Linked DNA regions of Sus scrofa. The protein of the gene in region 1 binds, or shares a complex with, the protein of each later gene. Links are inferred from orthologs where the notes say so. Each region holds a gene or a part of one and is shown on either strand. Other genes may lie near its edges.

What was found. Proteins that work in one complex are often made in the same cells at the same time.
Region 2: the proteins of RALGAPA2 (region 1) and NKIRAS1 are in contact, whole or in part, in a crystal structure (PDB 9QU1), measured with the Homo sapiens proteins. The link is inferred for Sus scrofa from reciprocal best matches to the Homo sapiens genes RALGAPA2 and NKIRAS1. Residues at the interface, in NP_065076.2 of Homo sapiens: Pro20, Lys21, Tyr51, Ser52, Gln53, Phe56, Tyr59, Glu60, Ile63, Arg99, Phe102, Arg103, Trp104, His105, Tyr106, Gln107, Ser108, Lys185, Ile186, Tyr187, Pro188, Glu189; in NP_001364280.1 of Homo sapiens: Lys6, Glu22, Leu24, Leu25, Tyr26, Glu34, Met39, Glu40, Asp41, Val42, Tyr43, Met44, Ala45, Ser46, Val47, Glu48, Lys54, Gln56, His58, Tyr60, His74, Tyr75, Ser77, Phe78, Lys108, Thr162.

The regions. Positions count from the first base shown.
Region 1 is NC_010459.5:28,557,218-28,560,870, reverse strand, and holds part of RALGAPA2 (ral GTPase-activating protein subunit alpha-2), read left to right. Parts: intron 1-1,307; coding exon 1,308-1,501; intron 1,502-2,534; coding exon 2,535-2,633; intron 2,634-2,854; coding exon 2,855-3,010; intron 3,011-3,653.
Region 2 is NC_010455.5:10,685,935-10,689,179, forward strand, and holds the end of NKIRAS1 (NF-kappa-B inhibitor-interacting Ras-like protein 1), read right to left. Parts: intron 1,060-3,245; coding exon 817-1,059; 3' UTR 546-816; downstream 1-545. UniProt on the Homo sapiens protein: Atypical Ras-like protein that acts as a potent regulator of NF-kappa-B activity by preventing the degradation of NF-kappa-B inhibitor beta (NFKBIB) by most signals, explaining why NFKBIB is more resistant to degradation.

The sequences.
Region 1 (3,653 bases):
AAACTAGGTAATTCCAGGGCACCTCAAGAGGTTTCCGAATACCAGGTGTCAATAGAGGATGCTCAAGTTGTCAGAGCAAAAAAATGTTCAAGTATCAGAATGCAATTGCCTTTAAAATTATGAAGAAAACTGTAGGTAAGTGGAGCAAAGTGTTTCCAGCACTGAATTCTGTACCCAGCCAAACTGGGCATTTACAAGGCAGGGAGCAAAGATGCTCAGATACCTGAAGACAGTGTGGTCCACTCAAAGGAAGGCATGAGCAGAGAAATTACCTGCGCCGTCCTGTGATTCTGGTCTTACCAAGGAGAAATGTGAGCATATGCTCATGTAGAAGCCTGTTGCACAGTTGCTTATGGCAGCTTTATTTATAGTCCCCCAAATCAGGAAAGTCGCCAAGTGTCCTTTGTCAGATGGATGGGTCCACTGCGATGCCTGTGGTCACACAATTTGAATCTCTCAAATGCATTATGCTGAGTTAGAGAAGCCAGACAGAAAGGCTGCTTACTCTAAGGGCTCCATTCATGTGACCTTCTGGAGAAGGCAGCACCGTAGGGACAGAGAACGGCAGTGGTTGTCTGGGACAGCGGTTAGCAGGAGGGGACTAGCTATAAAGGGGCACTTTTGGAGCAATGAGGCTGTTCCATGTCAATTATGGTGGCAGGTTATGGTGATAATTACATGACTGTATATATGCACTTTTTGACGTACATTTTTTATTACAAAGTATAATTGATTTTACAGTGTTGTGCCGACTTCTTCAGTGCAGCGAAGTGGCCCAGTCACACACGTACATACATTCCCCTTGTCATATCATCTTCCATCGTGGTCTGTCTCAGGAGCTTGGATGTCCTTCTCTGTGCTGTACAGTAGGACCTCATTGCTTATCCATTCTAAGTGTAACCGTATGCATTTCTTAAAACTCCTTATCCAAGAAGGATAAAATTTGTTCTAATTAACAGTGATGACTGCCACAGATGTCCCTCCAGCCATGAGGCCTTCCTTCCCTGGACACCTTCTTTCTTGGCAGGTCCTCCTTCTCCTGCACTGCTTGCTTACACAGCCCTCTGCAGGGACTGCTTTGCCATCTCCAGGGAGGTGCCCTTTCAGTTGGAAGAATTGGAATCATCTGACCTTTCCTCATCCCTCCCACTCCTCTTCCAAGGTGTCAGCCATTTCACCCTTCATCTGAATACATACGTTTTCAGTACATACGTTTTCAAGCGTCAGTAATTTGCATTCAGGACAAAAGGCAGCAATGAGGAGATCAAACTTGTGTTTACAGGCTTAATGCATGTTTTTCTTTGCAGACAGCAGCGAGTGCCTCGCAGACGACTGCAGCATCATTGCCGGAGGGACCCTCACCGGGTGGCACCCAGACTCGGCCGCTGTGCTCTGGCGGAGGGTCTTGGGAATCCTTGGAGATGTGAATAATATCCAGTCACCCAAGATCCACGCCAGGGTTTTTGGCTATCTCTATGAACTCTGGTACAAACTAGCAAAGGTACGTCCTGCTGTTTTTATTCGAATATGGGAAACTTGATTTATCACTTAGTATAAAAACTGTTGCATGTAACTTCTGAACATATGCTGGAACAAAAGTTGAAGTGTTTAGACACGGTACGTTTGCCTGTCAAAGAATAAATAATGATATGTATAGTTTGGTCATTTTATAAATGCCTCGGAGTTATTCCATTTAATGCGTTAAGTAGACTATTACTATAGGATATTAAAGAATGGGATATTATTCAGCAGTCTACTGTCTTTATAAAAGCGATGCTAGTTTTATTATACAAAATTTGAAGAATGTAGAAAAATGCTGAGAGGAAAATTGACCTCACTGTCCACAGAGAAAACCAGTAGTAAGATATAATCTTCGGAGTTCCCGTCGTGGCTCAGTGGTTAACGAATCCATTAACCACTAGGAACAATGAGGTTGCGGGTTTGATCCCCGGCCTTGCTCAGTGGGTTAAGTATTCGGCATTGCTGTGAGCTATGGGGTAGGTCGCAGATGCAGCTTGGATCCCGTGTTGCTGTGGCTGTGGTGTAGACCGGTGGCTACAGCTCTGATTGGACCCCTAGCCTGGGAACCTCCATATGCTGTGAGTGCAGCTTGTAGATAAACACATTTATACAAAAAGTAGAATCTTAGACTATATACAGTTTTCATTCTGGCTCTTGTTTACAACCTTCATTTTCCCTGTGTTATTACATTTTTTTTTCAAAAACATAATTCATGTTTATGCAGTTCAATTTGTGAAACCATCCTTATCCCTGGAGTTCAAGACTGCCTCTCCAGGCATTAAGATTCAAGGAAAAACGATGCCCTAGTTTTGTATTAAATCTAAAACCACCACATAATTCAAAAGGGTGATAGGTCTCCTGATAAAAGAAAAACTTGTGAATACTTTAGCTTTCCACTCAACTTGCAGAAGTTTAATTGGAAGCCGCGCTTTGACCACGGAGCATAGTATTAAAGTATCGTTGGGATAAACTAAGTGCGTCGCATCCCCTAAAATTCTCCTCTTTGTGTTTAGATACGGGATAACCTAGCAATAAGCCTGGATAACCAGTCCTCCCCATCTCCTCCTGCCTTGATCCCACCACTCAGAATGTTTGCATCATGGCTATTTAAGGCAAGTGAATGTGTGTTTATCTCTTTACTGTAATTTCCTCTTCCTTTCTGAAATTGAGTTTAAAAAATGTAATTGCCCCAGACTGCATGTTCTGAAGACAGGCTGGGTCTTGCTCAAGCCACTGCATCCCCTAAACCTCTCCATAAACAACTGATGGAAAACCGAGAAGTAAACGCATCTGCATCTGGAGTTGATTAAATCTCTAACCGTCTCCTTGGCAGGCGACGACGTTGCCAAACGAGTATAAGGAAGGCAAACTCCAAGCCTACAAGCTGATCTGTGCCATGATGACCAGACGCCAGGACGTCCTGCCCAACTCGGACTTCCTGGTGCATTTTTACCTTGTCATGCACCTGGGGCTGACCAGCGAGGACCAGGTACCTCCTTGCGCGTGGTGGCCTTGTCGTGCATGCCACTCTTGGCAGGTTAAGTTGGGGGTTGTGAGAGCACCTCCAAAATGTGGGCATTCTCAGTGGCTGCAGCTCTCCTACGCACAGCAGGGCCGTGGTCTTCCCGAAAGCTCTCCCCAGCTGCTTCTCCCTGCTGACTCTGCCTTTCACCAGCCAAATCTGTTTCCCGCCATAGCCTGTCCAGTTCTGCCTGTGGTCAACCTCAAAAATACTTAACCTCAACCTCTTTTTTGGGGGGAGAGTCTACATTAGCTATTATATGAAGAAAATGACTCATTCAAAAGCATTTGAAAACTGTTGTTTTTGGGGCTGGGATGTCTTTGTGAATAACCTCAGCCATCAGCTAGGGGTCCTGACATCTCTTTGTGTGGAGCTGATTTCTCTCAAAGGCATGTGATCGGTGGTTCATTTGAAACAGAAGGACCGTGGAGTTCCCCGGTGGCACAGTGGGTTAAGGATCTGGCGTTGTCCCTGCTGTGGCTTGGATCACTGCTGTGGTACCATTTTGGTCCTTGGCCTGGGAACTTCCATGTGCGAGGGGTGCAGGCCAAAAAAAAAAAAAAGAAAGAAAGAAAGAAAGAAACAGAAGGGCCAGAGGAGCCCCTAGCAG
Region 2 (3,245 bases), on another chromosome or scaffold:
TGGGTTCCTAAAAGAAACCTACTACTCAATTCATGCTACATGTAATTTGAACAAAGCTGAATTGTTTATCAAGATCTCTACCAGATACAATTTAGCTTAACTTAGTGTCCACATTGTTTACTGTTCATGATCTATGTCAATATATAATCCTACATGTTAGATTATTAGTGAACTTGGCGTTCCTGTCGTGGCTCAGCAGTTAACAAACCCAGCTAGCATCCATGAGGATGTGGGTTCGATTCCTGGCCTTGCTCAGTGGGTTAAGACCCGGCATTGACATGAGCTGTGGTATAGGTCAGAGATGTGGCTCAGATCCCGTTTTGCTGTGGCTGTGGCATAGGCCAGCAGCTTTAGCTCCAATTAGACCCCCTAGCCTGGGAACCTCCATAAGCTGCAGATGTGGCCCTAAAAAGACAAAAAGACCCCCCCCCCAAAAAAAAAAAATTCGTGAACTTGTAAAAAACAAAGCTGTATTGGAGCTAAGTTTCCACAGTTAGTTATACAAAATGACAGCTTCTGAAACAGGTTAAAGAGAGCTACTCAAGTATATTTGCATACCACTCAAACTTTATTCTTTTGACAAGTTCAACATAAATGTAACAAAGGTGCTGGTTTCAGGGACAAGTTTCAAACAATGAGAATGCTAGTATAGTATTTCATATCAGGCAATAATAACTTAATTAGCTAAAGTGCATTAAATTAATTCCCTAGGGATTTTCTAAAGACCAAAGGTAGACATGTCCTGTTTTAAATATGTTTGTTCACAGATACCTAAAGGCAGTCACTATTCAGCAAATGATTGTGACATTCCACTTTTTAGTTCTCAGAGCTGGAGTTCCCTTTGTTCTTCCTCCCAGGCAGAGGGAAGCTTGATTTGCTCTGGGGCTGGGAGAGTTTGCTGGCTAACAGAGTGAACGGCTCGATCAGAGTTTTCCGGTCCGTGACTGTCACCTCCCACAGCCGCACCTTCTCGCTCCTGGCCCACTGTTGTGCCACTTCTGCGTCCACCTGTCTTTGCTCAGAAAGATCAATTTTGTTTCCTAATACAACAATTGCCACCTGAAAGGAAAGTGGATAAAAAGATCACACTTTGCCAGATTAGTTCCTAGGTGAAATGAAGAAATAAAATTGGCCATTTAATAACTGCTTCATCAAAACTGATACTCAGATGTGACCTGAATGGTAAGACAGTATGACATTACCTTCACTCCTTCCTCAATTCATGTTTATTAAAACTGCAGACAGGAGTTCCCATTGTGGTTCAGTGAGTTACATACCCGACTACTATCCGTGAGGATGCAGGTTTGATCCCTGGCCTTGCTCAGTGGGTTAAGGGTCTGGTGTGGCTGTGGCATAGGCTGGCAGCTGCTGCTCCAAGCAGCCCCTAGCCTGAGAACTTCCATATGTTGCAGGCCTAGCTCTAAAAAGCAAAAACAAAAAATAAAAGTAGACAGATGCCCTATGGGGTGCTTACTGTGAAACTTAAAAGTTAACACAAGTGAGGTCACTCAACTCAGGTACACACGCAGGGAGACTTGAAGAATCACTATCTAGGGTACAGATGATTTGGTTGAAATGGCTGCATTTCAGTGTGGCTCCACCTGCTATTTGGGAAATTTGCAATGCATACTTGAAAATACAACAGCAGGACTTCCAGAGCTGTGAGTGTTCAGCACTCCTGGGACCCGAGTTCCACCAGCACAGGAATCTTTCTGTTCACATGACTCCTAATCATAGCCAAGTACCTGATTAAATTTACAGATTGAATGTGATCCCAATCAAATTACCTGTGACATTTTTCACAGAGCTAAAACAAGTAATCCTAAAATTTATATGGAACCATAAAAGACCCAAAATTGCCAAAACAATCCTAAAGAAAAAGAATAACCCGGATGGGATTAAGATGGCAAACGGAAGAACTGGAGCTTAACTTCTCTCCTAAAATCAACAAAATTCACAACTAAAGGCTGAACAATCTCCAACCAACGGACCGGAAACCCTAAAAAAGATATCCTACTCCAGAAGACAAAGAGGAGGCCACATCAAGAGGTAGGGGGGTGATTATGTGATATAAGCAACCCAAGCCTCCCAGGTGGGAAGCCCCACAGACTGTGGAAACTAACTCGTTCACAGAGACTCGCCTACAGGAGTGAGAGTTCTGAGCCCCACATCAAACTCTCACATGTGGGGATCTGGCACTGGGAGAAAGAGCCCCTGGAGCATCTGGCATTGAAGGCCAGTGGAGCTTGTGCACAGGAACTCCACAGGACTGGGGAAACAGAGACCCCATTCTTAAAAGGTACATACAGACTCACGTGCACTGGGTCCCAGGGTAAAGCAGTCTCCATAGGAATCTGGGTCAAACCTGACTGCAGTTTTTGGAGGACATCCTGGGAAAACGGGTGAATATGGCTTATTGTGAGGGAAGGACACTGGAAGCAAAGCTCTCAGGAGTATTCAGCAGTCTGCCTTTCTCTGGAGGTGGCCATTTTGGGAAAATCTGGCCCCACCATCAGTCTGTGCTGAGAAGCCCCAGGGCAAACAACAATCCTGTGGGATCACAGCCCTGCCCCTCAGTAAACAGGCTGCCTAAAGACCCCCAGGCACACAGCTGCCTCTAATCCCATCCAGAGACAAAGCCCCACCCACCAGGGACAAGCTCCACCTACCAGTGGGCAGGCACCAGCCCCTCCCATCAGGAAATCTACAGCAAGCCCCCATACTGACTTCAGCCACAAGTGGAGCAGACACCAGAAGTATGAGAGGCTACGAGACTCTAGTACTCTAGTATCCGTAAAAAGGTCACCACACCAAAACCTATAAAAATGAAAAGACAGGGAACTATAACTCAGATGAGGGGGAAAGGAAAAACCCCAGAAAATCAGCTAAGTGATCATAAGATTCTCAGCCTCCAGGAAAAAGACTTTAGACTATTGATGCTGAAGATGATACAAGACATTGGAAATAAACTGGAGCAAAGATGAATAATTTACAGGAAACACTGAGCAAAGAGATACAAGATATAAGACAATAACTGAAATTAAAAATTTATTAGAAGCAGCCAACAGCAGAATACAGAAGGCAGAAGAACGAATAAGCGAGGTAGAGGACAGATAAGTTGAAATTACAGATGCAAACAGAAAAGAGAAAAAAGACTGAAAATAAATGAATAGAGTCTCAGAGAACTCTGGGACTACGTTAAACACACCAATCTCCATATTATAGGGTGCCAGAGGAAAAGAGAG